Lepisosteus oculatus: one gene and its partner. The protein of the gene in region 2 purifies or fractionates together with the protein of the main gene of each other region. This does not show direct contact. Links are inferred from orthologs where the notes say so. Each region holds a gene or a part of one and is shown on either strand. Other genes may lie near its edges.

The links.
Region 1: the proteins of sinhcafl (region 2) and arid4b purify together in Homo sapiens (affinity purification with mass spectrometry; 3 studies listed by BioGRID and IntAct, counting the BioPlex papers as one, with this or other methods). This does not show direct contact. The link is inferred for Lepisosteus oculatus from reciprocal best matches to the Homo sapiens genes SINHCAF and ARID4B.

Annotation. Positions count from the first base shown.
Region 1 is NC_090712.1:6,399,464-6,406,638, reverse strand, and holds the start of arid4b (AT-rich interactive domain-containing protein 4B), read right to left. Parts: upstream 3,009-7,175; 5' UTR 2,543-3,008; intron 2,088-2,542; exon of another isoform or gene 1,585-2,087; intron 1,427-1,584; exon of another isoform or gene 1,352-1,426; intron 1-1,351. UniProt on the Homo sapiens protein: Acts as a transcriptional repressor. May function in the assembly and/or enzymatic activity of the Sin3A corepressor complex or in mediating interactions between the complex and other regulatory complexes.
Region 2 is NC_090716.1:9,697,473-9,704,729, reverse strand, and holds the start of sinhcafl (SIN3-HDAC complex associated factor, like), read right to left. Parts: upstream 3,001-7,257; 5' UTR 2,266-3,000; coding exon 2,265-2,265; intron 1,676-2,264; coding exon 1,528-1,675; intron 907-1,527; coding exon 807-906; intron 598-806; coding exon 486-597; intron 145-485; coding exon 1-144. UniProt on the Homo sapiens protein: Subunit of the Sin3 deacetylase complex (Sin3/HDAC), this subunit is important for the repression of genes encoding components of the TGF-beta signaling pathway.

The sequences.
Region 1 (7,175 bases), on a different chromosome or scaffold from region 2:
ACGACGCTATCCTACCAAACACAGCAGCTGTACGAGAACGGAAGTTCACGTGTGCCAAAATAAGAAATGTTCATTTAAACTAGCACTATTAAATCTCCTAAAAGTACAGAGAACGGGGGACATTTGTACAGAAAAATAGGTCGTGACGTTTGACGCTCAATTTCAACGCGATCATTATTTTTTTATTTTTCACTCCTGTCCGCGAAACAATTTAAACCGATTTCGAAACCAGACGGGGCTCCCACTGTCCCTGAAATAAAAATGAATGAGCAAGACAAACAAAAAGAATACGGCAGCTTTTTTTTTTTAACTTTCGGTTTTCGGCGTCATTTCCAAACGGCTCGGTTACAGACGCGATCGAGGAGGGCAAGGAGAGAGAGAAAAGGAGGGATAAAATGAAAAAGAAGAACTATTTTGACACGGGTTGAGGACGGGGAGTAATGTCTGCTGTGTGTGTGTGTATCAGTGCAGGCAGCTAAGTGGATGACGCCATTTCTGTATCACAGCAGAAACACATTTCGCCAACAACACGACACTAGTACGGTAGAGAAAGACGCACACACAAAAAAATCCGTCATAACAACGCCAAGTGAAAGACAGCGAGAAATAAAATTAATCCATATCGCCCTTCTCTTATTTCTCCCCCGTCAGTCGAGGTGTACTGTCTTTTTGTCTCAACCAACTGACAGTTTCTCAACGGAATAACAACCTCACTCGCGCAACCTGCGGATGATGATGGTGACGATAATAATAACAACAACAACAAAAAAATAACACTACAGCTGTAGCAGCTCGATAAAAGCCAGCAAGCGTGTGTGTGGGGGGATTTTTTAAGTCGATTTTTTTTTTCAGGAATCCCCTGTTGGCACTCTCTCCGAGCAGCACAGCGTGATACACATCATCAGATCGGAGGGCTGGTGAGGTTAGGAAAGGGACCGGAGGAGGAGGAGGAGGAGGAAGAGGAGGAGGGGGAGGGAGGGGACAGACGGGCTGGTTTCTTTTGTAGGGTCTCCGTGAAATCTGAAATCGTTAACTTTGATTTGCCAACCCAAGAGGCTGCCAAAACGCACCGAAGTACACACACAGAGCGGCGGACAAAAACCCATCGAGCGATTTCCGCGTTCAAACGCAGACGAGGGAGGGAGAGAGAGAGGGCTCCTCTGTCCGAGGCTGTTTCGGTTGCACATTTTCGCTGACTCCCCAAACTACAACCCCGACGCCTCTCCCACGGCGTGAAACGGCAAACGAGGATTTTGTTTTTTAAAGAAACAACAACAACAACAACAACAAAACCCACCATGAACAAGGCTAAACTAAACAAAGTGACACGGGCTCAAAAACCTAAACCGACCTCCCCTCACCGCCGCCGCCGCCGTCGTCTTCACCGACTTCGAGAGACGGAGGAGCAGCCGGGGACCGACTGCGGACGAGCAGCAACCATTAAATCCGACAAACCAGGCACTACAATGTCACCCCGCTTAATGTAATCCAGTCGTTACTGCTGGCGAGAGAGTGTGTGTGTGTGTTTCTGGGGGAGAGTGCTCACGGCTGGACTGTGCTTGAAAATCAGCTGTCGAAAACAACGCTGAGCCTAGTCTCATTTCTCACCCCCCCTCCGCAAACCTCCCAACCGCTCCGCTAGTTGCTTTATTGCAACGATTTAAAAATATGTTCTACTCCTGGTCGTTTATTTTTCTCTCTTTCGCCTCCCCCCCCCCTCCCACGTCAGTCCGGGCTTTAATAAGATTTTGTTTCTGTTCTGGCGAGCACGGCTGCGGGTTGTAGTATAAAAGAGGGGAGCAGGGAGGGGAAAAAAAATATTAATTAAACGTGACCGATGGGGTGGAAGACTGGAGCAGCAGCAGCAACAGCAACAACAGCAGCAGGAGCAAGGAAAAAAAAACCACAGAGAAAAAAGATCGGGAATACAGGCAGGCGACCTACGCGACCGTAAAAGCCAACTAATGGAGACATCCAGAGTCAGAGGAGACTCGATCGCTGGGCGACAGCAAGTCGTCTCTGGAGGAAAGGAAGTCGGTTTCGGGGCAATTTCATCGCTGTCTGCAGAATCCGAGGAGCTCACTTATGTAAGACACGGCTTTTTTTTCCCCCTCTTCCCCACCAAAAAAAAATCAGATCCGATGCCTCGCGTCAAGAAACTCCTTTCTGCATGATCGGGGTTTTTTTTTGGTGGGGGGTGGTGGTGGAGATACATTCCTCCATAGCCGAGTGTAACTCACACACCTTCAAGCCAGCTAAAGCTGACAGGCGAAAGAATAAGACGAGCGAATGCAAATAATTGATAGATTTGTTTCTGGACTGGCTAAGCAGCAGGGTCGACAGCGCTCACTACGGACAACGCTGGTCTTTTCCACTCCACCCCCCACCTCACCTCCAGTTTTCCTAGTCTAAGATTTCCCTAGTCTGTCCCCCCGGCGTTAGGAAAGAAAATCAGCAAGTGCCCAAATGATCTGCATCTTTTTTTAGGGGAAAAAAAAGAATGGGCAGCAAACAAACTTCACGCGATCTGTTTATTCCTTACCGAGGAAGTCCAGTTTTCGATTTTTTTATCCTCTCTTCTTGCTGGTGCAGTAATTTAATCCTCCATGAGCTCATCGAAAAGCAAGAGCAAACGGACTTGACGGTTATTTTTGTAGTCTTTTTTTTTTTCTTCCCCCCCACCAGCCCCGGGATGCGTATCCGACACAATCGCTCCTTCTGTAGGACTCTTTCTGTGTGCTCCTCTCCTTCTGAAACAGACTGACGGACTCCCCTAAGAAACGCCCTCGATGACTGTCAAGCTTTATGATTGGCTATCTGCTGCTAGTGTCCGCCCCCTACCGACTACCATTGGTCGGTCTTGCCAAGAAAATGACGTTATTTTCTAACGGTACTATGGTAACAAAGAGTTGGGAGCGCTTGGGATATGTAGTTCTCAAAAGAGTAATCTGCAGTACACAACACTAGTGTTTCAGATGACGATCATCGGGCGCTCCGAACAACAACTCCCAGAAAGCTTTGCAACGTGCAGAAAATATCCGTCCCCCCCCCCCCTCCCCGGCCATTATGCGCTTGCTCGGTGGAGAAGCGATGGCGTATATAGCTTGCTGTGAATGCGGATGAGCAAGGAGTAGGCTTGGCTCTTAAATTACGAGGCAGGGTAAGGTGTTTTAGGTCGTTTTGTAAGTCAAGTGCGGTAACAAAGGAGGGGCTCAACGATCTTCCCCCTCTTAAGTGGGGTTTTCGACGCGTAAGAAATATTTGGATGCCGTGATAAATTAATAAAAGGGAAGGTTGCGAGCGGACGTGGGGGAGGAAAAAAAAAGTGACCCGGATTGCAAATTGCTGACCAACCAGGTAGGTGGAGCTTCGTCGATGTGCTCTTGACATCAACAGCAAAAAAAAAATACTGCCTGTTGTGAGAGTTGGTGAGGCCGCCTGCGCCTTGGGGGAAAAAAAACTAACGTTAAGGTGCTCTTTTTTTTTCTACTTGATTCATCATAAAGCCTCTGGGGCTACGTTATTGCACATAAATCCAGCCTTTCAGGCACGGTCTGTTTTTCACTTTTACAGCAGTTGCATGCATGCTCTGTAGAGGATAATCCTCTCTCCTTACATCTAGGCAGTGATGTAAGGGAATTACTCTGCAGTACTGATGTAGTTGCACTCGTGTCATCTGTCAAAGCGAGTCACATGATGACACCTTGCGTGTGTGTTAGTCACGAAAAGTAAAGCTGACGTCTCTTCGCGTTTTTATGGCACAGGGGGAATAATTCCCTAGAAGCTGTCTCCCCCCCAGATCTAAAAATGGAATTGTGAAGGATCTGTAGGTCTTTTTTAGTGAGGATAAATCCTGTTACTGAATGATCACCCTCTTGTGTATTTCAAGAAATGCTGCTGAGTTGTAGCTGGGTCTGGCTATTTTAATAACCAGGTTTTTTAAGCGGACGGATACAGTAATTCTGGTGTATGACAGTAGGCGATTTACGAGGAATGCGGGTATAAACTCTTCCCATTCTAGAGTTGTGTACAGCCGTATTAATCTCCCGGGTGAGGTATTGTGTACTTGCTTTTAGAAAAACTGCAAACGCAAAACATGGAACATACTTTTATTACCTGCGCTTAATAAAAAAGACTTTCATTACGTTGGTTTGAGCAGTGTCGTACAGTATACTGTATAAAGTAGTTTAACCAATACTGAAAAGGTTTAGGTAAGTTGTCTCCTTTGATATTACATACTCCTATTTTTTCCAAAGAACTCTTGTGGTATAAATTTAGCAGTATCCAATCTGGCTTACACAGCCTTGAAAAGAGATCATCAAACCTTAATTATTTAATGTTACATTAACATTTTAACTGGAACTTCAGATAGATGTGTAGGCCAACGGTATTCTGCTCTGGTCCTGCAGTGTCTCTGTAGGTTTTCTCCTAAAGAAGTAATAGTCGAGGAGCTGGGAGAGGTGATAATTGGACTAGTTTAAGACATCAGCAATTGACAGAGGCCAATAAGAACTAAGTGGCATGAAAACCTGCAGACTCACTGGCACTCATGACTGGACCACTGCCTTGGGCTATTTTTGGTCTCTGCATTTTGCTGTGTACAACTGTATTTATGTTTTGTGTAAATGATGCACATGCAGGTAATATTATAGGATTACAATTTTTTTCATCGAAGTGCTGTTGGGTAGACAAGCTGGTTGCGGCTTTGTCAATTCGGTGTTTAATGTTTTCCTGTCTTATCTAAATGCTTTGTAAGTCTGGGCAAATCTTAACGCCTAGCACACCTTTTACTTAACTTAATTCGTCCCTCATTCTGTAATGAAATACTACATCAATGGAAAGTTTGTTCCACCATGTTTGAGGCGCTTGGAGGATTTGTAATTACATAACATACAAGCTTCTAGAACCTTTAAATTTGGTAGAAGAAGGAAACTTGCCAGAGAATCCGGTTGTTAGACTTGCTGTTTACGTTTCTGAAAAATCTTTGCCCTACTGCGTTTACTGTGGAAGCAAGGCACAGCGGGGCTTCGAATGTTGAATACCCTGAAAAAGAAATTGCAAAAGGTCTAATTGGTTAAAATTCCCAGTTATACGAAACTGTGTGGGGGGAAACTGGGTCAGCGGGCTGGGTCGTGTGTAAGTATAATGAGCCTCTGAGTCACTTACTTAAGGATGTGACTTCAAATGTCCTTTCCCACTTCTGTAGGGGTGGGCAAAGATTCAGGTACTCGTGTGTCTCATTAACTTGTTTCTCTCCTCCATCTCAGTCTCGTGTTGCATCCCTTGACTGTTTTCTGCAGTTACCTGCAGAATTCTAGAACCATCGCTCTGACCTACATCCGTGCTATCCAGCTCTCGGGGGGTTGCCGTGGAAGAATGGCGCGCCACCGTGTTGAGCTCCCTCGCGCTGGCACTCCGCTGGTGAGCTCCTGGCCGTGGAGCTTCGTGGGTCTGAGTTTGAGCAGTCTCTTTGCTCCGTGTGGTCGGCGCAGTGCCGGCTGCTGCTGCTGCCCGTATAAATCGGCGTCTTTGCGAGTGACCCTTTTTGGGTTTCAAAGTCGGGCGGGGGTGGGAAAACGTCATACAGGCTAGAGAAACCGTTTTCCCAAGTGATGCAAGTGTTCGTTTCTTTTGCAGAGTTATCCATCTAGTGAATGCTCTTTGTGAAAGAAACCAGCATGCTGAGTGAGGGCACCTGATTTCCTTAGAGCTGTAGGAGATTCACAAAGGGTTTTAAATGTGTGAATACTGGATAATGCAGTCTTTTGCGCACCTGGGAGCGGTCATACAGACTGAACTCCCAATATTTGTTTTTCTCATGTTACAAAAGTAGTGTTCGTACTCTGAATGAAATTAGACGATTTTGCGACTTTGATTCTGTAGCTGAAACTGCTCCAGCAGAACTGCTAATTAAACGGTTGCCGATGTGCAGAGTGCACGCAGGCATTTTTGAAATGCTAATTTGCAGAAGTGGGTTTTGTTGCAGCTTCGTTACAGGTGATCGCTGAACAAAGAGCGTTTTTTTTAAATATTTTTTTCCCTGCCAGATCGCTCAGTTTTGAAACGAGCAGACGCGCTGTGCTGGAAGTGGAATGGTTTGATCTAAGCTGTCATGTTACAGATCACGATTCCCCCCGAGAGGCAGAAATAGAGAAAATGGGCACAAGTGCGTTGTTGTTCTGTGCAGCCGCGACACGAATCATGTGCTGACCTCGCGTGCTACAATAACACCGCATGTGTTAGCTAAGCTGTTGTGCACAGTGGCAGCAGTAACTGAAGCAGCTATCACTGATACAGGTAACAAGACTAGTGCTGCCTTTCATTTCCTGATCTGAGTCTGTTGTTGCACTGATTCGACTTTGCCTTCCTGTTTGTCATACATTTTATTTCTTTTGCGTTTCGAAAGCAAGGCTACAGTATTGGTGTTTAAAAAGGTCAGGTAGGAGTCTGTGCCATTGTCTGGCTTCTTGGTGTCTTAATTAACATTCTTTTGATTTGGGGGAGAGTGATACCGTATTTAAACACGGTGGAGCAGTGGTTGGCATTGTTGCCCTGCAGTGCTGGGGCCCTGGGTTCAATTCTGTGGTGCTGTCTGTGTGGAGTTTGTATGTTCTCCCTATGTTCGTGTAGGTCCTCTGGATACCTCCCACAGTCCAAAAAGTCCAGATTAACTTAACTTGCAGGTTAATTGGCTTCTGGCAGAATTGCCCATGGTGAGCATGTGTGTTTCTGCGTCTGCCCTGCAATGGACTGACGTCCCACCCAGGGTGTATCCCGTCTTTCGCCTGTTGCTTGACGGGATAGTCTCGGGCTCCCCAGTGGCTCTGAATTAGATGAAGCCATTGGAAAAGGGATGAATCTGTTAAAAAAAAAACTGCTTTTTTAATATGAAATACACATGCTATTAAAAAAACGCTACTAATTGCTTAGTGTTAATACCTACCATTAACACCGTTAACTGCGTGCTGTTCAGTTTTATGACTACAAATCAAACTTGCAGTTGCTGCAGGCCTCCCTCTGAGAGTTCAGGTTTGATAACGGATAAGTGGTAACAGTAAAAGCTTCTAAATGTGAAACATTAGTTCAGTTTTATCTGCCTCCTATGCTTTTGGATTGCAGTCATTAAAAGGCTTCATCATCTATTGTATTTTTTTAGGGAAGTTATGCGTTGGTAT
Region 2 (7,257 bases):
AGTAAGAGAGGTCGATGAACGAGAACACGGATGGGGAGGAGTGCCTCTGTTTGGACTCGATGTCGGAGCCCTCGTCGGACTGGTTGCTGTAACTGGGCGACTGGGAGGGCGAGGCACTGGACGTGGTGCTGTGAGCATCCGAATCTGGAAAGGAAGGACAAGGCTTGGTCGAAAAACTTCCCGGGAACTCCCAGCGGCGGCAGGAGTCTGGCTCCCGCGCGGGTGGAGGGCGATGCCGAGATCCAGGCAGGTGAGGCATGCAGGGGGAAGTTGGAACTCCACGGATCAGGTCTCTTTGCGAGACACCTTCTTGAAACCGTAGCCTCACCTGCTGGGACTTAAGGCGATTTAACACTACAAACACACCTGCCTTGTCATCTTCTGCAGCTGGGCCGCAGCAGCAGCAGCCTGTAGGGCACGCACGGCCCATCCAGGCCACTACAAACACAGACACAAACAGATCCAACATCCAGCCTGCTACTCACTTTGCCTCTTGAACTTGTGAAGCTTCTTGAGTTTCTTTTTGCTGCCGTCGCCGCTTTTCATCTTCTTGGGTTTGGTCATCTTGAAGCCAGGCCCTGCTCTCGCATCGACCACCTGAGGAGAGACGCTTCACAAATCAGTGCCAGACAGGCACAGGAAAACTCAAAGCCACCCCCGATTATTTTTATTTTTTTTTGCCGGCATGTACTAGAAATACAAGGAAGCTTCACTTCTTTATAAGTAAAAAAAAATCAGCCCAAAACTTTTCACCACGACCTTGCAAAAAAAAAAAAAGAAGTGTTTTCTGCACAGTGGATACTTACGTGATTCCAGTTCTTTTTGGAGCCCAGGGGAAGTTTCTTCCAGCGCTTCACTAACAGGACGCAAGCATTACATATATCTCCCGTCCGATCTTCCATCAGCCTAGAACAACAAAAAATGTTTCCGCCCCGTTTGCTAGCGATACGTTTAGAAAAGTGGTGGAGATCTGGAAAGACTTCCGAAACATTTGATGAATCTTCTATCAAATCTAATTGCTTTGCTGAATACCACACTGCACTCTTAACTGCGCTGCCAAGCAAAGAGTACCAAGTGGTACTGGTACCGGTTATTTAATCGGAGACCGCTGATGAACGGCAAAACTACGTTTAGGGATCTTGAATGATGTGATAAATCACCTTTGTGGTCCAGATTGTTTTATCCCCCCCCGGAGTCCCGTATTTCTACACGTTTAAAATCGTGCTCACTGACGTGAGAGGCAGATTGATTAGAGATGTGATTCGTGGTGCGGTAGTGTCACGCAGAGGGGACATGTCGCCAAAACTGGTTACCAGCTCTTCCCCCAGCTAACCAAAGAGCGGCTGGAGACTGGGAACTTCTCAGTAAGGTCAGCGGAACAGCTACTAAGTCGCTCTTCTTGTTTGAAAGATAAACGAGTGGTAACAATAAATGAAAACGACATAGGAGTGTCTAGCTCTTATTTTGTGGCTGAAACATGCAGCTGCGATCAAGTGCATTTTAACGCAGAATACAAATAAAACTTACCCAAAGCAGAGTCTGAAGTTTTCTTCGTACCGACCGCTGTCTGTGAAGCGAGAGCTGGACGACTTCGTCTTACAAATGCAACAGCCTTCGTGGCTGCGATAGATCTTCGATTTATGAAAACCAAACATCTCCAAAGGTTCGTGCAACACTGAGAAGGCGAAATCATGGGTGTCAAACACAAGCGAAATCAATTTGACCTTTTGATAGCAGAAGAATAAAACGGATCGACACAACACACGTGAATATGGTAGTGCCTCAGACATGCCCCTGCTCCATGTTTGTTTCCGCGGTTATTACTATAAAGGGGGCGGACACCGCAACGTGCATTGCGGGCAAAGAAATGTTTTCTTTTTAATGTTAAATTCTGAGTAGACAGCAAAATACGCGAAGACAAACTTTGAAAGACCACGATGTACCATCGCGGTCTTTTAAGAGTGCATATTTAACCGTAACTAGCCACTTATTTGACCTAAATGCCGTGCTACGTTGGTACTACTGAGCTGTAGCGCCAGACACAACATAACCCATTTTCTCTCGCAAGCAAGCAACGCGATTCGATCATACTGCGTGCAAAAACAACATTCGTGGAACAAAAACAAAACTTTTTTTAAAAAAAATCCAACAATCCCTTCACCTGGGAAGGCGAGGAATTGTTTTTTTTGTCTCCCCAATTCCTTCTCGTCGCATCGTGCTTTCCAAACGGCACGTTTTTAAATTGCGTCGAAACCGAAACTTACTTTAGAAAACAAAGACAATGCGTCGCGGCGTTCGGCTGGCATATTCTTTCATCTCCCCGGAGCTCAATGGATGAATGCACAAACGGCAAAACCTACACGTTTCAGCCTCAAAGGTGCCGCGCACGCTACCATCGATAGCCGAGACGGTTCAGGGTAACTGTATCCATCAAACCTCTCGCCCTGACGTCACCACGCGAGAATCAAAGATCCTCGTCTGTTTAAAACACTTTGGTAAAAAAGAAAGTCCCCCGAAATGCCAGCGTACTTTCCCGTAACAATATTGCGATTTCCACTGCGATGCCAGGCATCCAGCTCGGCAGAGTCGAGCTTGGATCCCTCTCACAGATAGTGGGGAGGCGCTTTATTTTAAAAGGAACGTTACCAGCACTGAACCGTGCAACACTTAAAAGACAAATCCTCATTTTCACAACAACAAGTCCCCTCCACTCCCCCGTCGTCTGCACGCCAGCGGTCGCAAATGTGTAACTTTCACGGCGTCTGCTCTTTTTATTTTAAAGAGAGAGGAGGTGGGGGGGGAGGAAAGCGCGAAACAGTTTGATGTCCTTGATTTTAGTTTTTGATACTACCACGCCACGCTCCCCGTCCACGTTCTCCCATTGTTGTGCGCTAATGACCACCTTGCAGACAAGCATCTATCTGCTTTTCGTCACCGACAGACACCTCCGAGTCTCGGGAATCCCGGCCGCCATGCTTCGTGTGCGTTTTCTTAAAATCTGTAGCAAAACCGCCCGCGAAATTGCAAAAAGAACAGGACTTACCAACAAAAACTTTGAAACCTCGCTGTTTTCTGAGGGGGACGACTGCGCATGCCTTACTACGCTACTCCTGCATACAGCTGGATATTAGAATATCATTAGCATGAAAACATTGGCCCCAAACGTAGCATCACAGAAACACCATATAAGGAGTCCAACGTACTCGTTTGAACACAAATGTAACCAATCGGAGGAGCCCCGGACAGGCATTTAAGCATGTTGCATCCTGGGAAATGTAGTTCGCTTACACGCCCCCCTCCAGCCACTCCTACGGCTCGGGCTGGCTAAAAAGACTGCACTTCCCACAAGCCGCAGGGGACTGAAGGAATGAAACAAAAAAACTATTGTTAGGCTGGGGGCACTGAAATGGCGCGAATGGGTTTTCGGTAGCACGACAGCCGCCCGGGGTCGGGCGCAGCTCCTACAGCGCGGTTCAGCTGCGGGGCTGCGATCCCGATGCTGCCCCTGCGCTGCCGTGCCGGTTCGCGCCGCTCGGCCGCCCCGCAGTGTTGACATTGTTCACGCGGGGGCTCCTCCCACCCCGGCGCGAGCCCGGGCGGTGTACGTGCGTCCCGGGCAGTTTCATTCACAACTTGGGCTGCGCGCGCGGGGCGGACAAAAGCGGCGGCGCCCCGCGAGCTCCTGCTGCGCGCGAGGAGCCCCGTTCACCTCGTTCCCACGTGTCACGCACTTTTTAAAAAACACACACACACCCGCAAAGTCCCATCGAGGGCGGTTAAAAGCAAACCCTGTTTTCCCGTTTTGTTTTGTTTTGTTTTTTTGCTGTCGTTCGCGGGCTCGCAGGAGTTTTGTTTCGCCTGCGAGGTCCCGCTCGCTACATGCGCTTCATATAATGCGACCAAGCACCCCGAGTCCTTGCATAAAACGCACCTGGGCTTAGTACTGTAAATCTTATTTTTAGCGTTACCTACGCAGTCGCGTTTATTTTGGAGCCCTCGATGAAAATAGCAAGCCCTTGTTCGATTAACTGGGTCACTGAGCAGTGATAGAAATACCGTATTTTCAGTGGAACTGTACCTGCTATTGTCTAATCAAATTTGCTGTGTATACGGTCTATACTGCATATTAGTTTGCAGATTGCTGCAAAACTAGACAGACCATGCAGGTCTTTATGAAATATAAAATACAGAGCGAGCTGTAGAAAATCACAAAAACGGGAACGCAGATCAATGCATTAATTGTGAGAATTCACAATTTTGTATGTTATTAGAGATCTTAAATGCTTTAAAAGGACCTAGAAAGTCAGTGTAATAGTAACCGTTTCGGTTGTTATTTGAAGGACTGGTCTTTTAACATTTACAGCGTTCTGTAAATTCAAGGTTTTCAAGGTGTTTTAAATTGCAATTGTACCTTGAAACAGGCATAACGTGTTAATGCACCCTATTACTTTATTTAGTATTTAGACAACACACATTTAATTTGTTTAATAATTTCAAAATTGCTTTAAGTGTCGAAAGAATATCTGGAAATACAGCCAATTTCTGTGGCAAATATCGTTCTTATGAACCAAATGAAGTGTTTTAATGAAACTGCTCTACTCTTAAAAGGTCAACACCAAGTGGAAATAAATAAGAAGCCTTACTGTTAGGAAATGTTTACCATTTATTCATCAGGACATGTGTAAAATACAAGTGTAACTACTCAGGGCCATTTCTCTAGTTCAGAGCTACATTTCCTATACAGAATAGATACAACCAGAGCAGTTACAAAGATAAAAAGGATGCCTTCTATAAAACCACTTCCCAGATACATTATTAATTGCAATCTACATACTACAGAGCAAGTTCATGGTTTATGTAAAAATATACAATACACTTTTACATGGAGACATTATCCTTTTGTTTTATTACATTTTATACACTGTACAGTTAACCACTTCTTATTTTACACTACACAACACTGCTTTATTAACCTTTTTTAAAAAAGTAGTATCTGTCCCAAGAAGCTCAGCCTGTATATGGTTTCAGACTGAAGGCGGATGAAATATCAGCACTAGCCAAGCATTTTGGGGATGAAATGGTCAAATTTAATGTTTCCATGAAGCTATTATGCCTTCAAACTCTGCTGCCAAGTACAATGGGACAAAAGTCTGAACCATATAACCCTTAATTTTTCTTGTTTTTTACTTTTGCTCTGTGTAGTGAATATTGCATAGCATATTAACAGCAGCAATCTTAACTCTATGGGAGATGGCTACTGGAGCTGAGAAATACAGCCACTGTCTTTAAGTGAAATATAACACTGTAAACTTCCACTATTCTCCATGGATTCACATGGCTCAGGAATACAAATGCATGTCTGTATACTTGGATAGAACTGTATTCACAAATACAATTTCTTATTTTTCCCCAGTGTTAAAAGATTCACCGTGTCCTTGTAGTGTCTTGCGAAACAAGCAAATTGCAGAATACCCCAGATCATGTCAAAAACTGAGATTACTCTACAGGAATGTGGACTAAAAAGTGAAAGTGTCAATGAATTTGATGACGTTAAAAATTGTCAATGTTTTCATTTGGGAGAATAATATACAAGAAAAAAATCCTCTAGCCCAAAGTGCCAAGCAGATGCCCTCCAAATTTACTGAGCTGGGAAAATACTTCCTCAGAAAGACCCTCGTCACAGTTTGTTAATCAAAGAGGATCCGGTACCAGAGGTGAGAAGTAGCTTCATTCTCGGACGTAGTTGGAAAAACGTTGCGAGTTGAGGGTCCGAACCACCAGAATGAAAACGCAACCCCATCCCATTAATCTCGTCAAGCTGATTTTGTTCTGTTTCAATCACATTATCAGCACTGGCCGCACTGGGAACAAACTCCCAAAAAGGGGGCAATTCAGAACTTAAACCTACGTGTCTTTGGGAAGAGGGGGGAAACCACAGCAGCCCACGAAAATCCACAAGAACGGGGGGGGGGCAAAAATGAAATACCCCCAAAACAGAGGACTGTTTCGAACCAGGAATCAGTCCAAGACCCTGGAGGTGTGAGGCAGCAAAGCTAACTGGAAATTGTACTATCATCCGCCACGTTCTAAACCCAGGAAGAAAGCCTTGAAGTGGACCTTCAGATCCTATCAGATTACAACCTATGAACTTGTAAGTGCCACAGGAGGATGTACTGAAGTCTACTCCAAATCCACACACGCTTGTTAAAAATGGCAGCAAACTAAACACAATCAAACCTAGATCCTACATCCTCCACTGCGACCTACATCCAAATGTGAAACTCCCAAACCTGGTCACTGGCTTATTTGATAATGCCTGTTTTTCAGCGGATGGGTAACTAAAAACATACACTGTATATATCTCGAGAAGTGCAAGAGGATATTTTTTTGCGGACAATTCAGTAATTCACATGCCAGGTGGTGGGCAGATGGAGAAAGTGTCCTGTCAGTAACGGAGAGGATGTCTGGCTCAGCACAAACCTCCATGAAAACAGAATGATTCCCACAATCCTGTTCTTGGAATGACAAGGAGATTCAGAGAAAGAGCTTAGAAGGAATGTTACTTATACTCAGTCTCAGTGAAGTCTGAACAGGTTAAAAAATAATAATAATAAATGTGAAAGCATGAACAAGTAAAAGCACAGACAGAAAAACAAGTCAACTTTTAAAGTAGAATGGAGGTTAATGGTTTTTCAAACTTGCCGATTATTGCCGAGATTATACTCGACGGTCGCTTATACAAAAAGGACAACATGCACTAGACAGAAGCTCCAAAGCCTGATTTATAATTTAGAAAAATAGACAGGGTGAACTCTTCTCCAGCACAACTGAATGTATGATCTGAGAAATCAAAACGTGCAGAAGCAGTATATAATGAACGCTGACACTACATTTTGGGGAAAAAAATTAAATGTGTACATCTATTATAGAAGATATAAAAACTAATTTCAGTTCATTTTTCATATTTCATATTAAAAATCGTATTCTCTCCCATCGTTCCCTTACAAAAATAACCCAAAGTTTTCTATAGACACGTAGCAGTACATTTCTGCAGAGAACAACTTTCTATAGAAACCTTTCGGTCATTTACATGTCATTGTTGTAAGGGTTAGTACTTATAAAGTATACTTCTACAACATTTGTTTTGAGCTCAAGTTTGGCCTCTGTGAAACCTAAATTTCAATAACAGAGCAAGCAACTCAACAGACATATCAAAATAATACTGTTCCTTTTTGAAAATATATTAAGTTATTTTTG